3 linked regions of the Lonchura striata genome follow. The main gene of each other region encodes a partner of the protein of the gene in region 2 in a complex. Links are inferred from orthologs where the notes say so. Each region holds a gene or a part of one and is shown on either strand. Other genes may lie near its edges.

What was found. The genes of interacting proteins can lie anywhere in the genome.
Region 1: the proteins of RAB3IP (region 2) and RAB8A are in contact, whole or in part, in a crystal structure (PDB 4LHX), measured with the Homo sapiens proteins. The link is inferred for Lonchura striata from reciprocal best matches to the Homo sapiens genes RAB3IP and RAB8A. Residues at the interface, in NP_783322.1 of Homo sapiens: Ser199, Arg202, Asp203, Gly206, Leu209, Glu210, Thr213, Ala214, Phe217, Glu218, Ala220, His221, Val224, Asn228; in NP_005361.2 of Homo sapiens: Lys10, Phe33, Ser35, Thr36, Phe37, Ile43, Asp44, Phe45, Lys46, Ile47, Trp62, Ile73, Ala76, Tyr77, Arg79, Gly80.
Region 3: the proteins of RAB3IP (region 2) and RAB11A are in contact, whole or in part, in a crystal structure (PDB 4UJ5), measured with the Homo sapiens proteins. The link is inferred for Lonchura striata from reciprocal best matches to the Homo sapiens genes RAB3IP and RAB11A. Residues at the interface, in NP_783322.1 of Homo sapiens: Asn367, Thr368, Leu369, Ser370, Ile371, Glu372, Pro373, Asp412, Arg424, Thr428, Cys431, Asn432, Thr435, Tyr439, Leu444, Val445, Lys446, Gln447, Gln448; in NP_004654.1 of Homo sapiens: Phe36, Leu38, Glu39, Asp127, Leu128, Arg129, His130, Leu131, Arg132, Ala133, Pro135, Thr136, Leu156.

Annotation. Positions count from the first base shown.
Region 1 is NC_134630.1:4,669,271-4,677,306, reverse strand, and holds the start of RAB8A (ras-related protein Rab-8A), read left to right. Parts: upstream 1-4,964; 5' UTR 4,965-4,993; coding exon 4,994-5,117; intron 5,118-5,429; coding exon 5,430-5,490; intron 5,491-5,696; coding exon 5,697-5,757; intron 5,758-6,501; coding exon 6,502-6,579; intron 6,580-6,993; coding exon 6,994-7,083; intron 7,084-7,702; coding exon 7,703-7,768; intron 7,769-8,036. Other genes in the region: TPM4 (tropomyosin alpha-4 chain), read left to right, coding at 1,067-1,200, 1,422-1,539, 1,962-2,032, 2,253-2,328, 2,608-2,670, 2,756-2,825, 4,408-4,490. UniProt on the Homo sapiens protein: The small GTPases Rab are key regulators of intracellular membrane trafficking, from the formation of transport vesicles to their fusion with membranes.
Region 2 is NC_134607.1:44,681,723-44,689,175, forward strand, and holds the start of RAB3IP (rab-3A-interacting protein), read left to right. Parts: upstream 1-4,413; 5' UTR 4,414-4,417; intron 4,418-4,535; exon of another isoform or gene 4,536-4,601; 5' UTR 4,602-4,642; intron 4,643-7,453. UniProt on the Homo sapiens protein: Guanine nucleotide exchange factor (GEF) which may activate RAB8A and RAB8B. Promotes the exchange of GDP to GTP, converting inactive GDP-bound Rab proteins into their active GTP-bound form.
Region 3 is NC_134613.1:22,382,823-22,390,021, forward strand, and holds the start of RAB11A (ras-related protein Rab-11A), read left to right. Parts: upstream 1-4,127; 5' UTR 4,128-4,239; coding exon 4,240-4,279; intron 4,280-7,199. UniProt on the Homo sapiens protein: The small GTPases Rab are key regulators of intracellular membrane trafficking, from the formation of transport vesicles to their fusion with membranes.

The DNA.
Region 1 (8,036 bases), on a different chromosome or scaffold from region 2:
ATCAGCCGCTGAACTCCTTTCCAAGATGGCTCAGAAGTGAATGGAAACCACTTCCTCCAGCTTAGGAGTGGTCAGTGACCAAATTTGCTAAGCTGCAGCAAAACGCTTTTTTTTTTTCCAAAGTGTTTTAACATAAAGCATAAAACAGTTGCCCCTCCAGAGTCTGTATTCCACAAAAGTGTTTGGGAAAAAAAAAGTTAATCCTGTATATGGCAATCCTCCTTAGACTGGGGGACAATATAGTGCACAAGCCTGGCAGTTACTAAAGCAGGGCTCTATTTTCCTTCAAAAACAAGCAATTAAAGGAGTTGAATCTTAATAAACACATATTTATGGACACCAGTTTGTCCATGTTGTCTGTATCGCATTTCTCCCAGCAGTATCTTCCTTTTATTAACTAGTCTATTTCTTATACACATTAGTGGTGTTCCAATTACTGTGCAGTTTATTCAGCAATACACAAACAGATCTTATTACTGAGAAATGCGCCCTGCCTAATCCCTTATGTACCACAGGAAGCAAAGTTATATCAGCAAAAATCAGATATATTTTAAGAATATATCTGATTTTGTCCCAAAAAAGCCTGAGGTCAGTGTCTGTGCCCAGCTGACCACGTAGATTCTCCGGCAGCCAGGATGGATCAGGAGCTGGCTCCAGCTTCACAGCGAGCTGTGACAGGGCGCCACTGAAACCAAGGGCAGAGAAACCAACGGTGAAGGTTTTGGAACTAAGCCATCGTGGAAACAGTTCATTTTTTGAATTTGAATAGATGCAGCCCTGTGAAGTGCTCCAAAAATACCCCGATCCTTTTGCAATCATGTAGATTTCCTTTTTGTGTGGCAGGAATGATAAGTGCCATTAAAAAAAGAAAGGACAAGCACACACTCCATACCTTGACATTCCTGAAATGCCAGAGTTTAAGCAAACAAAAAAGCAGAGGCAGAAGGGCCCCTGAGCTGCCCTGCATGTCCCAGGGAGATGCTGCTGAAGTTGTAGGGAAACTGATTCACTGGGGGCATGTGCCAGCAGCAAGTGCCCTGTGTGACCCTGCTCTGGTTCCACGCAGGCTGAAGGGGAGGTGGCAGCTCTGAACAGACGCATCCAGCTCGTGGAAGAGGAGTTGGATCGTGCCCAGGAACGACTGGCCACAGCCCTGCAGAAACTGGAGGAGGCTGAGAAAGCAGCAGATGAGAGCGAGAGGTACGCTCCTTTTTTATTTTCTGTTGTGTGTCATTAAGTATCTGCATGTGCTACTGCAGGGCAGAGACTTGAAACTTTTTTACAAGCTTGATTGGGTAATTCTGTTAGCCTTGATGAACACGATGGGTCACTTTTAGGCTACAAATCTCAAATTCCACTTTGTGAAGTTGAGATACAAGTGCCAAAATACTTCTCAGTTAAACATGCTTTGATTTCTGCAGAGGAATGAAGGTTATTGAGAACAGAGCAATGAAAGATGAAGAGAAAATGGAAATTCAGGAAATGCAGTTGAAGGAGGCCAAGCACATTGCTGAAGAAGCCGACCGCAAGTATGAGGAGGTAAAAGGGAGAAGGAAATGGTGAAAGCTGTGGGAGAGCCATGAACAGTAACACTGCTCTTCAGTCTAGTCCCTCTGTTCAGTTGGCACTGGGCGATGCTTCAACCTTGCAACATTGCCAGCAAGGAGGAATTTTAATAGTGATTTGCACTCCTTAGGTACCTAATGCAAAAAATACTGCAAAATCTAACTAATTGGGGAGGGCTGTTACCTCTGTGGGTGCATGCTTTAACCTAATTTCCTTACTCCAGAGGAAGCAGGAACAGAGTACTTCTGAGTGCTTTCTGAAATCTGCAAGGAAGTTGTCCCAGGCTGTGGCAGGGGGTGGAACTAGATGATTTTTGAGGTCCCTCCCAACCCAGGCCGTGCTGTGATTTTGCAAATTGCACACTGGCCTGACAACTGGCTGTTGTCTTTTTACAGGTTGCCCGTAAACTGGTTATTTTGGAGGGTGAACTGGAAAGAGCTGAGGAGCGTGCAGAGGTGTCTGAAGTGTGAGTAACTTTCTAGAATATAGGAAATACCAACACTACATTTCAATAAAAATAATCTGGTAGGCAGGCATGTAGTTAGTACTTGCAGAAAAGTCTGTTTGCACACTGCATACCTGGTTTTCTTCTTTCACACTTAATTACTTCCTCCCTTGTATTTCTTAGACTCCTCCAAATCATAACAGGAACACCAGTAATTCATACTTCTATTTTCTCCTTCTAGTAAATGCAGTGACCTCGAAGAGGAGTTAAAGAACGTCACAAACAACCTGAAATCTTTGGAAGCTCAATCTGAAAAGGTTGGTTCTTTCAGTAAACTAAAGGATATGGGCAAAGCCTAAACTTGTAAATAGAATTCACAGAAATAAACCAGAAATAAAAAGCAGATGAGAGGTTTACCTGCCTGCCTGTGGATACCACTCCAAACAATCCTGAAGGTCTGCAGGAGAGCAGAAAAGCACGGAAATGGTGTTTGCAGCTGTTGTAAAAGGAAGAGTGCTTATAAATAGGTCACAGTTTCATAAACATTTATTATTGTTGCTACAATTTCCCTTAAAGAGTGTTTATTGTTTTCACAGTACTCGGAAAAAGAAGATAAATATGAAGAAGAAATCAAGATTCTCTCTGACAAGCTGAAAGAAGTAAGTTTGGCCACCCCCATGCTGGATGCATCTTAGGGCATAATCTTTCTAGGAGCATCCAGTGATGCTGTTTCAACTTTTTTAGGCTGAAACTCGTGCAGAATTTGCAGAGAGAACTGTTGCCAAACTGGAAAAGTCTATTGATGACCTGGAAGGTATGGAATGAGTCAAGTTTCTTTAAAGGTGGTCAGTTTAAAATCAGAAAACAAATTCTAGGAGTTGGGTGGTGGATGTAACGGGAAAGAACAGCAGCATTGGTCAGGCATATTGGTGGATGGGTGTGATGTGTCCACTGGGCACCTGCCCTGTGTGGTGGAAGTTCTCCTGAAAAAGGTTTTCTTCCATAAAGTTGGTAACAATGACCTGATTTTGGCCAACTAACAGATGGAGGGACTCAAGGGCTCACGATCCCCACCCTACTTAATCTGAAAACAATAATGAGATTACAAAAAGACAAAAAGTTCACATAGGTGAAACTTCTGACCAGGCAGCTTGGCGGGTGTTTTGCTTTCCTTCTGATACTCAACTACGCTTCTGTTTTCTTCTTTTGTTTTCCTCCCCAACTGCTTTGGCTGCTGTTGCTTTTGCCTGTCTCCGTTCTCCTCCTGTGGCCTCTTCTCTTGCCTGCATTTCTTGCTGCCTGTTCCTGCTGCCCTGGTGCTGACAGACGAGCTCTATGCTCAGAAGCTGAAGTACAAAGCCATCAGTGAGGAGCTGGACCATGCCCTCAACGACATGACCTCTTTGTGACCCGCCCCTGCGTGGGGACACGGCCTTCCGCTCACTGTGTTTTCTCAAGCTTTTCTTGCCTGTAATCCCTGTCACTCCTGTGCCACTTCCACCTCTGGGAACTGAGCTCAATAAAACATGATACCTCTACTTTTCATCTTGCAGGGTTTACTTCTGTGTAGATCACCTCAAATACAGTGGTGGCAACACCAAAAACACATTCAGCTGTATTGTTAATGTAGGCGAACCCAATGGGAAGAAATTACAATGTCTGACTCAATTTAGAAGGCTGAATGATTTCTTTATTATAACTATGTTAAAATACATTAATATGCTATATAAAAGCAGGATACTAAAACTCCATACTACTTTCTCTGACTCTAACTCTCTCACAACTCGTGACCCTCTCTGAGAGTGCAGCCCCAGGTGGGTTGGATTGGCCACCAGGCTCAAACAATCCTCACAGAATCCAACCAAGATCTCACCCCAGGTAAACAATTCTCCAAACACGTTCCAAATAGGAAAAACAAGGAGCAGAAATAGAAATTGTTTTCTCTTTCATTTCTCTCTGTGCACCTCTATGAAAAATCCTGAGAGGGAGAGAAATGTGCTCGCCACACAGCTGCTCGTGTGGGGTTGGGCAAGACATGGTCAGGATGGGGCAAACACTTGAATTTTGGTGTTCCCTTTAGTCAGTGAAAAGCTTTGAGTGCACTCAGTGTCTGCTCGTACTCCACCAGCCTGGTTAAAAACCTCTCACTCCAAGGAAAAGCCAGCAGGATGTGGCCTATAAATGACACAGTGACACATTAAAACACAGGTCTGACATGTTCCATGAGATGTGTCCAAAAAACTCCCTTAGGGATAGCAATTACAAAAAAAATGGCCCTGTTTTGATGATATAAAAGTGTCTTAAATATGAAGGTAAGTTACCCCAGGTTTTATTTAAAGCAAAAAGGCTAGAAAATAACATTATTTAAATCTTGTGCTTTTCTCCTTTCTCACCAGAAAAACTTGCTCAAGCCAAAGAGGAGAACCTGGGCTTGCACCAGACACTGGACCAGACACTAAACGAACTGAACTGTATATGAGTGGCTCAGCGCTGCCAGCAGGCGCCACCTGCCCCTGCCTCGCTCCTTCCCCTCTCTCTCTGTATCCCGGACAAGCCACTTAAGTTATGCCCGGCACAGCCGCACCGCGGGCCCCGGGCATCCCTGGGGGCCGGGGAGCCGCGCGGCCGTGCCGGGGCCGTGGCTGCTCTCACGGTTCCTCTGTCCTTTGGTGTAAGCCCCGGTGGGAGCTGCACCCGAGCGGCGCCGCCCCCGCTGCCGTTTCTTATTAAACAATTTCTCACAGTACCGCGGCTTCTTGAGGATTCTTGTACCGCTGGGGGTGTGACGTCACGGTGCGGGCAGGTACGGGATGACGTCATTGTGTTACCGCCGGGAAATGACGGGACACCGGAGGGGGGGGCCGATAGCCAATCGCAGCGCCGCTTACATCCGTCTCAGGTCCGCCAGCCAATGGCGGGCCGGCTCCGTGCGCTCTCCGCCGGGCTGGGCCAATGAGCGCGTGGCGGGCGGGGCCCACCAACATGGCGAAGACCTACGATTACCTGTTCAAGCTGCTGCTGATCGGCGACTCGGGCGTGGGCAAGACCTGCGCGCTCTTCCGCTTCTCCGAGGACGCCTTCAACGCCACCTTCATCTCCACCATCGGTGAGCGCCGCCCGGCCGCCATCCCCGCCGGGCCGCGTCCCGCTCGGGGCTCGGGCCGCGGGAGCCGCGGGCGGGCCCGGGGCTCGGGGCTCTCCGCCGGGCTCGGGGCTCTCCGCCGGGCTCGGGGCTCTCCGCCGGGCTCGCAGCCGTGGCGGGACACTCCAGACCGGGCCGGCGCCAGACCTCCCCGGAGCGGCCGGTGCCGGGAGGGAGCACTGAGGGACGCCACACCGAGCAGCGGGATTGAGGGCAAAGCCTTGGATTTGGCCGTTGGGCGGGAGCTGGGAGTAAAGAAATTGGTTTTCCTTTCAGGAATCGACTTTAAAATTAGAACGATAGAGCTCGATGGCAAGAGAATCAAGCTGCAGATCTGGTAAGGCTCCTGTGCTGCAGTCAGCGTCTGATCGCTGGGGCTGTGTGCTGTGCGTGGGGAGGTTCGGTTCGGTTCCTATGCGGTTGTGCTGCTCTGTGGTTTATGGTGTTTTAGAAGCCAAAAGGCAGCTCTGAAGAGTGCTTCAAATTAACTGAAGGCTTTTGTGGTGTTAACTGGAACTGAGCCCCGTGTTGTGTCTGTTGCAGGGACACAGCTGGGCAGGAGCGGTTCCGGACCATCACCACCGCCTACTACAGGGGAGCCATGGTAGGGGCAGCTCGGGGACAGGGGGGACAAACCCAGCTGGCTCTGACACAGAACACTCACAGCTCTGCTCCAAGTGCTGCTGGAGCTGTGCTGGGATGTTGGATAATACCATTTTCTTGACTTAGAGATGGGGTAACTGAGCGGTGTTTCAAAAACTTTCATTTCATTTCAGTCTCATGAGAAGGGTGAGACAATACAGATGTTATAATTCACACCATCACAATCAGAAGCCAACTATTTCCTCATTACAATGCACTATAAGTGTTTCTTGGCTTCCCAACTTTTTACCACACCGTGTTGTAGATACATTAAAACCAATCATCTAAAACTACCTCTCACAGGTCCCACTACAATATATTTTCTTTAATTCTATTTCTCCAAAGTATCTAGTCTTATTTACAAAACCATATTTTGAAACTTTTTTCTAGCTCAATTTCTCTCTCAACAATATTCTATTCTATAGTATTTCTAAGTCAGCATTTCTTATCTCAAAGTTTGCATTATGTGTGAGCTTTCTGTCAGGCCCTGAGAACTCTCTACGAATCCATTTCCCACACTGGGATGATCTGGGACTTTGGAAAGGCAGCTTCCTCCATGTTTCACTCTATAAATACATGTCCTGCACACCTTATCTCACTGCCATTAGCTGGGAACCAGTTATTAAAAATAGCCACTGTTGAGTTGCTCCTCTCTGCTGTGGATAAACCTTTAACTCCTGCTGAAACAGTCTTTCTTTACCTTTAGGGCATTATGCTAGTGTACGACATCACCAATGAAAAGTCTTTTGAAAATATTCGGAACTGGGTGAGGAATATTGAAGAGGTAATTTCTCTCTTTACTTATTACTGACTGTTAAAGGTGTCATTTCTTCCCATGAAAATAATTGCTTCAGAAGCATTACATTTTCTCATGTGCTGCAGGGAACTTGGAAGATAAGTGGGATGGAAATCAGTAAAAGCTTTTGGAATGCCTTGGCTGACAGTGCTTTGTTGTGAGGGCTGTAGCCCCTGTACTTCTGAGGGCACCTAATGTGACAATTTCCTACCACAACAATTGATCCAAGAATTGCCATGGTGCAGGTTACATCCTGGGAAGAAGGGTTGGGGGAGCCTGGAAATCTGGGGAAGATTCTCAGGACTGGCATCTCTGTGTTGGGTACTCAGTGGGTGCCTCACCTGTCTGACAATGTTTGTCTACAAAAGCCAAGCCTGAGTTTCTGGTCTGTGTTTGTCTCAGCACGCTTCTCCAGACGTTGAAAAAATGATCCTGGGGAACAAATGTGATGCAAATGACAAAAGACAAGTCTCTAGAGAGCAAGGGGAGAAGGTAAGTGCCGTGGCTTTGATGTATTTTGACTTAGGCTTTTCAGAGTCCAAAACCTGGCCTGCTGACTGTCTGCACGTGCCATGGTACCCCTGTGGTGTTCCTGAGTGCAGTGCCTGAGCATTCCCCAAGCTGCCATGGCAATGCTTTCCCCCACTGGCATCAACAGCAGAACCTGTGTTAAGTATTCTTATCAATTATCTAACAGATGCAAGGCAACCAGCAGGACTTCTCTAAAAGGATGCTAGAGTTGGACATGGATAAATGTCTGTTTTGGCTGAAAGCCACTGAGACAAGGTAGATGGGATTGTCTTTTCTGATGTCAGATGTTACTTAGGCGAGGCAGAGATTTTTTCTGCACTGTGGTTGTTACAAGACTGACAAGGTATCTATGCAAGAAACGAAAAAGAGCAACCTAAAAAGTGTGCAGAGTGTAAAAGAGCAGAGCAAAGACAGTGAGAACAGATGCCAACTGCAGTGGGATTTAGTTCCTAATTTTTGTTCTGCATGAGTAAATCCCCAACTCCACTGCTGGTGGCAGCAGGGACAGATGCTGTGCCCAGGACTGTGTTTGGAGCTGTTCCTGCAATTGTTCAATAATGTGCAATATGCTTTTGTTCAGCTTGCTGCAAGTTTCGGGATTAAATTCATGGAGACCAGTGCAAAAGCAAATATAAACATAGAGAATGTAAGTACTGCTGCCTTTCTCTTGTATTTCTTGTCCTCTTTGTGCAAACCAGCAGTGTGGGATGCAGAACTCCATGGTTGGGTTGTTGAGCACTTTCCTGCAGCAGAGACCCTGGCTGGGGGTGGCAGTGTGGCTTTGGGGCTCAGAAAGAAGGTTGTGGAGCTAGAGAAGGAGCATTGAAACCTGGAGCAGAGAGGAAAATACTGAGAGCTTAACGTTTCTTGTATAGTATATCAAAACTTGGGAAGGCAGCTTATTGCTATACAAA
Region 2 (7,453 bases):
TAAAGAATGTGCCATTGTTTTGATACTGTGTCAGTGAGTTCTGCCAGTTGTGTATAGATATATGCTGTGTATAAAATAATTTACCAAGTTTATATTTTTTAATATTCAAACCTTGACTTTCAGTTAATGAGTACATGGCTTTAATGAGTATTTCCTTTTTAGACATCATTTTAAGCTCTTGTTTCTGACATTAATTTAGTGCACAGACAACAGAGTTGGTAACATTGGTAACAGAGGTGAAGACTATAAAGCAGTTTGAGGTTTTGATGCTGCAACATATTTGTTGCATGATTTGAACACATCATTTGAAGACAAATAGGAAAGAATCAATATATGTGATACAGATAGAGTTTGCTAAGGTTTTTGAAATTCCCTCCTGTGACACCTCATAAGAAAGGGAGGGGCATGCTGTTCAGCATAAACTACTGTAAAAACAATACAAGATGGGTGTGAAAACCCCGCTCAAACCATGTTTTTAGAAAGTAAATTTTTTAAGAGGAACATCTCAGCTCAGAGGATCATTCTGGATCTGATAACATGCAGTATTTTAATTAAGGACTTGGCTGATGGAATAGACAGCACACATCAAATCTGCTAGATGTGAAGGGTCAAACATTTTTCAGAACAAGGTTAGAATTCAGAAACAATCCATGGACATAGAAGAAAATTCACAAGTAAGGTCATACACAAGCTGAAGAAGGACTGGCTAGCAGCGTTCTGCTGCCAAAAGAGAATAAGCAAAGGATTGTTTGTGGGATGCATAAGCAAATGTGTGATATCTTAAAGCCTGTGCTGGTCAGACATCAGCTAGACTGCTGTTCTTGGAATTGTGCACTGTACTGACAAAGACCCACAGGAAGAAACGCAGCAAGTACAAGAAAAAACAATTTGAGGTCTAAAAAACATCACCTTAGAGGAAATATTAAAATAATTATTTATTCTTTGATAAAATTGAGGGTGTAGATGATGCTATCAAATGCCCTGAAGATTGCTACTTCCTGTATTCACTGAGATAAGCTCATTACCTCTTCTACACTGCAGCACAGGAGATGAGGTTAGACTTTGGAAGATATTTGTAACTCCAAGGTTAGTTCAGCACTGGAATGCACTGCTTAGGGAGGCTGTTCTGTCTTTCACCATTGGAAGTTTTGAGAAAGAGCTTCAGGAGCAGTTAATATCACTCCTGCTTATTTTCTGTTATTCTGGGCCTTGTTTTAGTGTATAGATTTAAAAGATAACACAGACCTCACCAGTTTTAACATTCTATTAGTTGGACAGGCAGGGCAGCACAGAGATAAGTTTTAGGGCTCCAATAAGCTGGAAGCTCATTTATACCAAAATACCAATTGGATTTGCTTTCCAAATGCTTAGCTTAACACTGAAGAAATATGCCTGAGTGGGGATTTATAGTTCCCAGTGCTGCTAGCACTGGTTTACCTGAGCTAGTAGAAAAGTGGGGGGGAAAATTGCTAAAGACAGTCTCTGTACCTTTCTTTGTATATAGTGAATCATTCTTCGGGGTTTTTTTTCACTGTACTATGAGGATTCAATGCATGTGTGACTACTATCAATAGATTTATTCTTTGGCTCTCCTGAGTTTATTGTTTTGTAACATCTTGACAAGAAGAGAGGTAATAAGTACAGTTCATTCAATATTAAAAAAAAAAAGTAAGATAAGTAAGGCAGAAGAAAGGCAAACAGAAAGTGAGAAAATGAGTAGAAAGTGAGATTTCAAATTTTATTTGCTTTATTTATCCATGACATTGCTGGGATATCATCCCCTACTAAACAACTTAAGATTTTTCTACAAAGAGAACAACCATCTCTTTCTTTTATTCCTCCCAACCTATAGGGGGGAAAATTACATTAGCTGGCATTTGTGCTTTGTATAGAGATGAGAAATTCAGATCAGAGCAAAACTACACACTTGTATTTTCTAAAGTCCTGCAGCAATCCTTGCCTTCAACAAAGAGCTCTGCCATGGACTGGGACTACCTTCTGCAAAACAGTTTTGTCTCTTCTGTTTTCTCCTAGAAACCTGAAATAGGTTTCTTAGGTCAAGTGGACTGTAACTATTAGGAAAGGAAACAAGCACATTTGAAGATACAGACTCAGAGAGATTTTTCACATGTGACAGAAAACATTGACAGACAGAGCTGCAGTTCAAGGGAACTCTGTGCAGTGCAGGAAGTGTTTGCAGTGATTTTTATCACACCTTCCATCAGTATGACTTGGAGAAAAGCTACACAAGTCAAGACTCAGTTTTCACTATATAGATTGCTTCAGCCAAGTCTGTGCCAAGATACCTATTCAGTGTTCAGCTGGAGAATGGGACTGCGCTGGGGCATTTAACCACACTATGGAGCTCAAAACAAACAGACAAACCATACTCTGTCTTGTGTGAGTCTGTCTTGGATGATTCTTCCTTGGATGAGCCTCAGACCTACATTACAGGTGTAGGTCTGCACACAGGTCATGCATGTCTCCAGTACTGCCTCCTGAATGGATCCTGGACTTGATTTGACATCTCACTTGAGTGATGGTCACTGGTGTATGGCAAATCTTGTTGCTATTGCCCCCTTGCTCTGCTCTTGGCTGTGCCTTCATTGGTGACCATGGCTCTCAGTCCATAATGCCTGGAGGAGTAGCTCTGCCCTGACACTGATGTGCAGCTCAGGGAGGAGCAAAGGGGTGGATAAAAATACTCTTATATCTTTTTCTTTTCCCCCAGCCCCATGCAAAAGACTCCTCTTATTTAAGACTCTGGATTTAATTCTATTTATTTATTTATTTTAGCTTTTAATCTAACCATGTAAATTATGTTTTCTGTGATTTGTTGCTGCCTGACTCTTCAGATTATTACACACAGCAAAATACAGGAGTACTTTGACAAAATAAATCAGTTGGTGCTTAATTTTAGCAGTCAAATGTCTTTGGGACTGTATTGTTTTTATTTCTTGAAATGCAAGATGTCTAATCTGGTTAAAACAGCAGATTGTCATGCCAAGCACAGTCATTGTACAGGATTAAGAACTATAGGATTACAGATCCTAATTATAGACTCTTGTTGGTTAACTATGTCTTAATAGGTTGTTTTTAACTTCTGATTCCACTTGTCATTTATTTTGCAATCATGTTTTTAATAAATTTCTGATGCATCTTCTAATTTGTCAAACCTGTATTCTTATAGCACTGTCTGGATTCTATTTCATGTCAATATTAGCAAATTAAATAATTTGAAGTTCAAGGTCCTTCTACATCTCTGCTCTTTTAGTTTTTTTACAACAAACTTCAAATTATACTGCTGTTTGAACATTCCCTTCTTGCACTTTGGTTTCTTGGTATTCAGATTACTTCCAGAAAAGTTATAGATGAAGATTTTCTGTAGCCATTTTTCTGCCTGAGCCCCATTGTAGTCAATGTAGATCTACATATGGGAAAGTAATTTAGAAGATATTAGTATTTAAAGGTACTGTATTTACTTTATGAGGAATGGCATTGATATAGTTGCCTTTTGACGTCATCTTTGTCATATTCTTTTGCTCTCAATGACCTTTTTGCTTGGTAGATGCCATGGGGAATGTGCCACAGAGACTATTATTTGTCTGTGGCTATGTCCTGCAGGACTGGCCAAACAGGATTCTTTCACATTCAGTGGAAAGCTGTCAAGATAATTAAAGTTTCAATTATTGACTGGAATTCAGCCTAGATTCCTTAACTGATGAATGGGACAAGGTCTTGGTTATCTTAGTTTTTGCTCAAGTTCTTCACCATGCAGCACATAATTCTGTTCAGCTGCACTAACAGCAAGGAAAGTACATGGTCCAGCTAATACTGCTGTCATTTGAAGCATATTTTTTGGCACTGTAATCAGACCAGTGGTGAAATGGAGTCTTATTTATAGCAGCTTTATAACATTTTGCCTATCACCTTTAAGACATAGGACATGCAGAACAGTACAGACCAGGACTTCAAGTGCACTAAGTACCATGCTTGTGTCAGGGTGGCAATGGGGACAACTTAGGGCAAGCCTAGATGAGACACGATAGTAATTGCTCTTAATCAAACTACTGGAGCTGGAAAAACACCTATCCATAGCAAGTGAGGCCTTTTATAGCTCTGTATGTGGCCTCATTTCAGAAATTTTGTGTGCACAGTTCAACCTTTAATTATGAAATTATAAATACATTAGGGAGGCTTGGAAGCTGATTTGGAGCAGTGCATGCCCCATGAATGAAAATTGGTGGATAACCACTTGGCATATTTTTAATTTTCTCCTTTTTAATTGCACAATCTTGCGCCTTTGTTACTGCATACAACTAAACACAGAACTATTAACTTCCTCGTGTTTTTCACGGCACAGAGCGCTCAGAGTTCGGCAGCGCTGCCGGGATTTAACTCTGGCCCAGGGGACGCGCAGACCCGCGGGCGCGGCCGCTCCTCCTCCCGCCCCCGCCCCGCTCCCCTCACGGAGTCACCCCGCCCCGCCGCTAGGGGGCGGCAGCGGGGCCGCGCGCACCTGCCCCCTGCCCCCGCCCCGCTGCGGGCGCTGCGCTGCGCCGCGCATGCGCGGCCCGGCCCCGCAGGTCGGCTGAGGGGACGCGGCGGCGGCGGCGGCCGCTCCTCTCTCGAGGCTCGGCAGGTACGTGCGGCGGGGCTGCGCGGCCCCGGCCCCGCCATGGCAGCGTGGGGTGGCTCCCCGCTAGTGCTGCTGCACCTGCCCCCCGGCGCGTCTCCGGCTGCCTGCGCCCAGGCGGGCGGAGCAGGCGCCGCCGGGGAGCGCTGCCCCTAGCCGGGGCGCCGTGAGCGGGCGCGGGCTGGCTGTGGGACTTGCCTGGAAGAACGCGGGGACAGGGGACGGCCCGGGCCACGCCGCTGTGCCCGTCTGCGGCGGGAGGGGGGCCCCGGGTCCGTCGGGGCTTGCGTGGGCACAGAAGGGGCAGTCGGCGGCAGAGATGCGCTCGTCCGCGAGTCCAGCCGCGGCCGAAGGCAGAACTGCGCAGCAGTGGGGATCGGCCCGGGAAGTACCTGCCCCGGGGTGGCAGCGGCGGCGGACGGAGAGCCGCGGCGGCGGACGGAGAGCCGCGGCGGCGGACGGAGAGCCGCGGCGGCGGACGGAGAGCCGCGGCGGCGGACGGAGAGCCGCGGCGGCGGACGGAGAGCCGCGGCGGCGGACGGAGAGCCGCGGCGTCCCCGGGCCGGCGGGTCGGAGCGGCTCCCCAGGTAGTGCCTGTGCGGGGCCAGAGGGGAGGGGCGGCTCGGCGGCGGCGGCCGAGACGAGGAGAGGAGGGATGCGAGAAGCTGAGCAAGTGCCGCACGCTTCGCCTCCGCTCACGGAGCTCTCGGCCGGCGGGGCGGCAGGTGCGGATCGGGAGAGCGCCGAAAGCGGCGGGGGGAGGCCGGGCAGGGCCCCTGGTGGAGCTCGCAGATTTCGCCTCCCTCGAGGGGTCCCAGAGCAGCGTGGGTAGGGACAGCAGTGGCGTTCTGCGCTGTGGGACTGCGCTGGCCTCTAGCTTTTGTGGTTGCTTTGTGGTCTGTCGAACAATATTGAGGGCCATACTTAGTCGCCAATAAGTTGAAGTAGTTAAGTAGCATATTTGACTTAGCTTTATTTTCTAATGTAGTTATGTTGGACAGTAAGGCTCAGAAAGTAAATTTTGGTACAAGTTGATACAAGCGATGAGCTATGCAGAAATTTGTGGTGCCCGACTGCTAATGCTTTATTAATTCCCCGAGGGTCGCAGGGCTTTAGAAGTAGGAGAACATAGTGACTAAAGCCTTAATGATACCCTCAGTGTTTGTCTTGCTGACAAAAAGCTACAGTGTTTTTATAAGTTTGAAAATGTTGTCTATTTTGTTTGCAGATTGTATACTAAGTTTTATGTTGCTTGCTTTATTTGCTGCATTCCTTTTTAAGTATGTTCGTAGGAAGTCTCGAAACAGTTATCTAAATAGATAAAATAATTAATCATGTATAGACTTGCTGTAACTGAAACTATCAGCTTCTCTTTTGAAGCAGATGTAAGGTTATTCACACTAGATGTATGTATTGGCAGCTACCATCTGTTCAAATATTTGTATTTCTCACTGTAGGGAAAAGCCTGAAATCTTGTTTTTTTAATATTTTTATTGATGTTTCTATTATAGAATCTTAATGAGTTTTTGGAAGGGTTAAAGTTTGGCCTTCTGTATTTGTCTCTTGGCAGTCATTCATCCGTTGTGCTTGGTTAATGTTACCTAGTGAGCAAAGAAGGATAAATAATTTACTGTTCTCATTATGCTTTTAATAAATAACAAATGGGAGTGCACCTCACAGCTGCGACTGGAATATCCATCTTGTTATGCTATATTTAAAAGGGGAATTTTTTTTCCGTAGGACAACAGAACAGTCACAAGAAGCATTTTGATTATAGACTGCAGCTTTCTTCATAGCTTTTATTGATTTGGTTTAAAAATTCATGTAAAATACCAAATGAGATGGTCACTCACTGTTCCACTTAGGTTTATGGATTTTTTCAGAAAAGAGATGTGTACTTTGGATTTTTATTTTTAAGACCCTTTTTAATAAGGCACGTAAAATATTGTCTTAATGTAACTTGTCAAGACTTGTATTAGAGACTTCATTAGCACTAATACGGTAACCATTTTTTAATAAATTAAGAAAATACTTTTTTAAATGCATTTGCAGTTACAGTGTCAGGAAATTAATGGTAATTTTACTGAAGTTTAAGTTTACTTACTGAATATTTTCAGTGTTAAGTGAAAGCAAGAGGGTCTTTAGGTCCAAGTCTTGGCAAGAACGACACTACAGTCATTGTGATCAGGTTTAAACCTGAGATGGGCTAGTAAAATTGTTTCCAAGATAAGGCAGAACAATGCTTTGCTTTAAAAGGACCAGGAACTGCAAAGAGAATCGTATTTTCATTTTAATTAACTTGGTTTGAGAGTCTTTGTGAACAGAACAGCATTCTTTGAATGTTTGTTTACAATGAAAGTTTGTGGTATTCTTTGCCTTTGCAAAGCACTGACTTTTCACTGTAGTAAGAGGTGTACTATCTACCAAACCCTAAACCATTTTTATATATAAGTTTCACAAACACTTCATAAATATAGGTCATTGAATCTTGTGTGCTGCTTGTTTCTGTAAGAGACACTTGCTGTCTGTACCTATATTTTTCTAGTTGAAGATATATCTAAAATAAAGTTTAAAAAGATTTTTTTGTCATCACTTCATCAAAACAAAAATCCTTGTAACTTCATAAAATCCAAAGTAGACTATGTTTCTTTTAAAACAGTGCAGAATAGTGTTTTCAATGCGTAAAGTGAGAGTAAAAACAGATTCACATCATAGTATTATATGACAACAGTAGAGGGAATGCCGTAGAAAAATATTCTCACGTTAAACCAAGAGTGTTTCTGCTAGCTGTTAAATTCTGTAAACTTGCCGAACTTA
Region 3 (7,199 bases), on a different chromosome or scaffold from region 2:
AGGGATTCCTAAAGAACAACAGAACCAGAATTAGATTTGATTTTGGATAAAAAATATGTTCAGATACAGGTCTTTTTTTTTTATTCCAAGTTCAAGGTTAGGAAAGGAAAGGCTAATTTTGAAATTAATTTTGATTTGGTATATTTCTTCTTATACCTTTTCTTCTTAAAGCTGTAGAAATCAGAAAGGACATAGCAGGTGATGGAATGCAGAAAAATTCATATTAACTCCATGTATTTTCATTATTCCTACCTGTGGCATAGAATTACCTGGAAAATAGAATCCTTGTACATTGTAAACCCTTTAAATTGGTCTAGGTTTCTAAAAATAATTGGTTTCTTTAAATTTCTGTGGAGAGATTTTATATTTGAAGGAGTTTTTTTCTGACTGACATGTGAAACTGAGGATAGTGCGTGCTAAGAGTACGCTTGTCTCTAATTTAGCAGCTGGATTCGAAAGCTTGAATTATCTCTGCATAATTGCAATGATTAATGGATTGTTAGGAAATTGCAAAGTATTGATTGAATTTTCCCCTTAGGAAATATTTCTCCTCTGATAAAACACAGTTCTGGGCCTTTGCTTTTGTCCTTCCTGCTTTCTGCCCCAGGAAAGCCAGGGGCTGCTTTTATCCAGGAAATGGGAATTTGGGTCAACAGCCCTTCAAGGACAATTTTGAATTATTGTGATTTCCAATCCCAAATCTTCTCTGAGCTTTGCAAAGAGATGGATTTGCAAAGTGTGAACAGGGATTTCCGAGCCAGAAAAGCTTTTTCTTTTTTTGCTGGGACCAGCAGCAAATACTGGCCATCCCTGTTTCACATTCTGCCATTTCCATGTCAAATACCACCAGTGTGCTCTGCAAAAACATCTTGACCTTGTTGTGGGAATGCCACACCCATCAAGGCTGGTGGTAAATTTTCCACTTTATTAGGCCAGGATTACTCTGGGGGATCTCAGGAGTTGGTGGGAAGAGGGAAGTGGAGAATGAAGTGAGAATTGGATGCAGGGAGATCTTGATGCACAGTGCCTGGGGCTGGGCAGCTGAGACCTGGAAGCCCTGACACACATCTGCACCTTAATGGTGCTGGGCTCTTTTTGGCAGCTGCTCTGGGAATTTCCAGAACAGACCCATAAATACACAGTTATGAGTGTGACCTCTGCTTCTTTCTTTGCTAAATTGACCAGCCAAGGCCCAGCTGAGTATCATCCCTTGTCTCTGCTCCAGTTGCTTGGGATGTGCTGCCTCTGCAAATGGTTCTGCCTAAGTCAGGAATTATGAGAGCGTGCTAATTCAAGGTTTGCCATGAATTTAGTGTTCCTGCAAGGATGACACTAATGGCAATTAATGCAGCAGAAATGCCAGTGCTGAGTGACTGTTCTCACAATAAAAGCTGTCAGTTGGAGAGCACAGTCTCTGTTATTCCAGCCTGACCTCTGCTTTCTGGCTGTGTTTCCTGTGCACAGCAGGTGTCCCAGGCCGTCCCATCTCTGCAGCAATTCACTCTGGGAGGGGACACAGGGAAAGAGCAGAGCAGCCCAAACCAGCCTGTGCTGACAGTGACATTTCCTGAGGCTTTGGATATTCTCCTCTGTGGCTTGAATAGCAACAAAATTAACCCAGAACTGAACAGGATATAAGACTTTAATTTCTGGAGCTCCTTGCTAGTTCAATGCTCTCCTCATGTCCTGCTCTGTTGATTCCTGTTTAGACACAGAGCTCTTTCTACTGTTTCAGTTTTCACCGTGAAGAATCTGATTTTAAATGTCAATTGCATTCAAACAGGCTTAGCTAGAAGTAATCCCTGCTGCTGCCCAATTCCATAGCAATCTGCACAACTAGTCATGTTTTGCTAAAAAAAATCAATGGTAAAAATGTCTTTGCTTTACAATGGCTCAAGTTCAACAAGTGACAGTGCTGCAGCAGTGTGGGGATTGTGATTTTTACCTAAGCCAGAAGAGCCACTGTCCTCACTCTGTGCCCTAAACTCTTGCACAGGGTAAGTCAGTTCCAGATGAGGAACATCTGCAATGTGATGCAAGAGGAAGTAATGCTTGCACACATGAAAAATGTAAATAAAGGGTGTTTCTAGGCTCACAAACACAATCCAAAGCATGAAAAGGAGAACAGCTCTTACAGGAGAATAACTAGAGGTACTTAATCTGTGTTATTTTAAGGCTTTTTAGCTCTAAAAGCAGTTCTGGAGGATGAAACCAGGTCTGAGAAACATCAAGTGAAAATTAATAGCTTTTTAACAACAAAGTTTAATGGACAAGTGCAAATAGGATATGAGATAGAAACCTGAGCTCCTGAATTATAAATATACCCAGCCTCTACACAGGCAAGTATCTGTTATCTATTTGATGTACTACTCAATGCCGGGGGATTGAGAAAGGCAGGAGCTGGATGAGCATTTTCAGGTTCAAAATTTTGTGTATTCTGGGTTTAGCTGGAGATAAAAAGGATGAATCCAACACAGATGCCTATAGCCCTCACCACTACACTACCCCCTGTGAGGAGCTGGAGGTGCAGGGCACATCAGAGGCTGGCAGCAGGGTGTGGGTGAGCCCAGACTGTGATGCCTCTGTGACCTGTGGAGGGACACGCTGCAGTCACCCTTCAGGTGTCTTTGTTATTAATGTTTGTTTTCCCCACTTGGAAGCTCTGAGGCAGCATGAAAGATTTCTCTTTAAATGCAGAGGATCACGTTCTGGCTCGTTATGGTGCCAGCAGACGGTAACTGCTGCACAGCACTGCTGCTGATGCCTGGGGGTTACTTTCCACACGCAGGAATGATGACACAGCCACTGACTGCAGTGATGGCAAACACGCTGCTGCTGAGGGCAGGCTGGTGGGAAAGAGCAGTTTTAAGGGATTCTGTTTAATCATCTGGACACAAGTGCTATTTTTATCCTCTGTTGTTTGTATCTCAAGCCTGCACCAGGAGAAGCTGATGACAAAGTTGGTGTCTGCCATGGCACAGGGGAGACAAGGGGAACCGGACACCTTTTGGGAAGGGAGAAGCAGGGTGGGCAGGTGTGGCAGTGGGAAAGGGGCCTGTGCTCATGGCTTTTTTGCACCTTATGAGCTGAAAGAGCTTGTTGGCCTCTCTAATACCTCCACAAGCTCATATGACTCTCTCAGCTCAGTTCACAGGAGGGATCTTCTTGGGGGACTTCCCATCGACCAACCCCAAGTTCCCCTGTGCTAGTGGGTGGCTTTGGGATGAGCCAGTGCCTGCCCATGGAGGCAGGAGAAGGGCACCCACCCCATGGTGGGGGTTAAAGTTGGTGGGCTCCAGGCAAGAGGTGAGGTGAGATTATCACAGTGTGTGAAGAGGCCCAGGGAGCTCGGAGCATGCCCAGCCATCACTTGGGCACAGGATTCCGGGTAGCTCAGTGTGCCCATCCATCCTTTGGGAATAGGCTCAGAGATCCTGGAGGGAGCGTGCCTGGGCATTGAGTACAGGAATCCGGAGAGCTCAGTGTACCCATCCATCCTTTGGGAATAGGCTCAGAGATCCTGGATGGACTGTGCCTGGGCATTGAGTACAGGGATCCGGAGAGCTCAGTGTGCCCATCCATCCTTTGGGAATAGGCTCAGAGATCCTGGATGGACTGTGCCTGGGCTGTACAGGAGTACAGGAGTCCGGGGAACTCAGTGTGCCCATCCATCCTTTGGGAATAGGCTCAGAGATCCTGGAGGGAGCGTGCCTGGGCATTGAGTACAGGGATCCGGAGAGCTCAGTGTGCCCATCCATCCTTTGGGCACAGGGACTCCTCAGAGAAGCCCGAGCATCGTTTGGGCACACAAAGCCGAAAAGAAATAAAAGCGAACTGGGGGTAGAAAAGATTCAGGTTCCACCGAGATTTGAACTCGGATCGCTGGATTCAGAGTCCAGAGTGCTAACCATTACACCATGGAACCGCTCTGCCACCACCCCCTCCCGGCTGCCCCTAGTTCCTCGCGCCGCTCGCCGCCGCAGCGCGGCCGCTCCCTCAGGGCGGCGGAGGGGGCTCGGCGCTGGGGGCTCCGGGGCCGGGCGGGACCCCCGCCCGCCGGGCCCCGCTGAGGGCGCGGCCGCGGCGCTGCCTCGGGCGCGGTCGTGCGGCGGCGCCGCTGCCCCGGAAGCGCCTGTGGGCGGGCGGGCGGAGCGCGGAGGGCGGAAGAGCTGCGGCGGCTGCAGGGAGGGTCCGGCCCCGCTCCGCTGCGCTCCCGGTCCCGCTCCTCCGCCACCCGCCATGGGCACCCGCGACGACGAGTACGATTATCTCTTCAAAGGTGAGGCGGGCAGGGCGGGAGAGCGGCGGGGCCCGCGGGCGCGGCCCGGCGGGTGCGGGAGCGCTCCGGGCACCGCCGGGCCCCGCTCGGGTGTCCGGCCCTCCCTCACGCACAATGCCAGCTCCGGGCCGGCGGATTTGGTGCCAGCGCCCGCCCGAGGCCGCCCCGGCACGGTCTGCGGGGTGGCGAGCAGAGATCGCCAGGAAGGATGCCCAGGGCTGAAAAGGACTCCTCAAGGTTGACAAGAACCTTTCCAGCTGTTAAATAGAGCTTTAGAGTGGGCGAGATATACTCAGCATTGATAAATGATGCGCTCATTTAATCAAATAGTACTCCTTGCTGCCTTCTGTGTTCAGAGCCCATGGCGAGGAGTGGAATGTCCCTGCTGCTCCACGCCCAGAGATCATAAAATCCTCCTGCAATCATGGAATGGTTTGAGTGGGAAGGGACCTTAAGATGATCGCATTCCAAGCCCCTGCCATGGGCAGGGACACCTTCCACTGTCCCAGGTTGCTCCAAGCCCCGTCCAGCCTGGCCTTGCTCTGTCCTGGCTCCCCCAGGGAAGGGCAGGAATGCCGTCATTCCCAGGGCTGATGCCCCTGCAGTCTGCGATGCGGTGGCAAGTCGGATTAAAACCTCCCAGGTTGTTGTTAAATATTCAATTTTCACTCCCTGCAGAGTAAAACACCGGCCTGCTGGACAGGTTCATGTGGCCTGCTGTGAAATGTGTACAGAAGTGCTGATATTTTGAAAGTTGACTATCCAGTTTTTAAAATCCCACTGTAAAAGCAAGCAAAGTAGTGTAAAAAAGTAGTTGTTTATTGTGATGTGATATTGTAAATTTGAATTTAGGATTAAGAGCATTACTTGTGTTTTAATGGTGGCAGACCCTGTGCTTGTCCTCACAAAGGTAAAATATTGATGTTTTTTTCTGTACCTTTAAGCTCCTGTAATAACTTTGAGGAATTACATTTTTTTTGTTGTTGTTGGCTGTTTTGTCCAGTTGCATGTGGAAAGTGCCATTATTTCTACCTATAAATCAGACATCTGTACTGTTATGGAAAGCAAATCAGGAAGGTCCAGAATGAGCTCTTTTCTCAGCTTGCAGCCCTGGCAAGGACCTTGCTGACCACTGTTTTAATGGCATCAGGCAATGTTGTTGTAGGTACAGGTTATCAAAGCCATTGAATTCCCATTGTTCTTGCAGTTCTGTCAGTGGGCTTGTAATTAATGTTCTAGCTGTGGAAGCCTGGGAATATCAGTGACACAGAGTTTATTGGGAGAGCTCCTATCTTTCATTTGGCCTGCTTCCTTTTCTAGTTGGGAAAATATAAAGTTGGAATCCAGTTATAGAGAGAAGTGCAAAGCTGATTTAATTGATTGCCTTTGCTAAAGCGTTTTCTGTTCAGCTTGGTTTATGGAAGCCATTGAGGGTGCAGGGAATGCTGTCAAAATGCTGTTGTGAAAATAAATGATTTGGATTTTTCCAGCCTAAAGTGGACTGCAGGAAGTTGATGCAATGTCTGTCACTTAACTGGGATTGATGTGGCAGCTGAAATAACACAAAAATGCAGAATAATGAAACTGTGGAAACTTTTGTAACTTCCCAGAGGTGATGGTGGTTCTAAACAAGCTGTCACCACTCTGGAATGATCTGGAAATTACTGCAAGGAGATCTCTGAACTGAATGTCTTTTGCCAGGCACTGGTCAAAAAGGCTAGGGGTAAATATAGGTAAATATTTTGGAAAAGGAAGTGGGAACTTGGGGAGAGCGTTAAGTCAGTGCTTGAATTTGAGACATGAGCTTCTTGGGAATTGAGGTGATGTGTAGCCATGACAGACATAACCATTTTGAAAGGGATGTTGTAGAATTAAAAAGATGGAGAAAGGCATCAAAATGATCAGAAAAGAGACCTAATGGATTCATAGTCCTTATACTCAATTGATGTACAGCTTGATTAAAATTTAAACAGTGAGTGATAAGGGCAAATAGGGTAAGTTTCTCCTGTTTGTCGTAATTTCTCTGGATATCTGTAATGCTTCTTTTATTGGGTAGCGGGTGAAAGCAAATGGACAAAATCCCTCAGGTGTGTATGCAAATTTTGGAGTGATGCATTGCCATGCATATTGTAAATGGATTTGAAAGCCTGCACAAATTCATAGAAGCAAAAAATCTTGTTTGGGGTGTGTCAGTGTGACAGTTACGATGGCAAGTCTGAAGGCATTGCTTATTTGAAGATGCAGGGGCTGGCTAGGACAGAGATTAGCCTGTTTGCTGTGATGCACATCAGGGTTTTTGGACATCAGTTATTTGGAGTCAGACTCTGGGTGTTGGCCTGTCAGGACACTTCATCCAGCAGGACATTTCTGAGTTTCTTAAGGGACTGTATGGGTCGGTTGGTGGGACTGAGTTCAGAGTTTAACCTGGTTAAAACAATCATGTGATCTTCTCTAGTCTGGCTGTTTTTTACTGTTCCTGGGCTGAACTGCCACGTTTCTGTTTGTGAGACCTCTGGTTTTGTCCTGACTGCAGCTGTGTGTTGAAATCTGGTTGACTCTGCTGCTGGGTGAAAGCTGAGCCCACCTGTGCTGCTGTACAGTAAAATCCAGGGACCTGTTACAAAATACACTTCTCCTGACTGTGTTGCAACACTTCAGCATATAGGAAGGACTAAACCTAGCTTGATAAAAAACAGTTTCTGTTAAATTCTTCTCGTCCAGCTTCCAGTCTTTGTATTCTTCCATACTTTCACGGTCTGGCTGAGAGCAGTGCCTGCTGTTCCCAGAATGGCCCCTGAGGAAACACAAGGCCTATGAAGTACAGTTCATATAAATCTTGCTCTCATTTTAGTAGGAGGAAAATATAATAGTGATATATATCTATTACTTTATTACTTTATAAATTAAGCCTGGCTTTAGT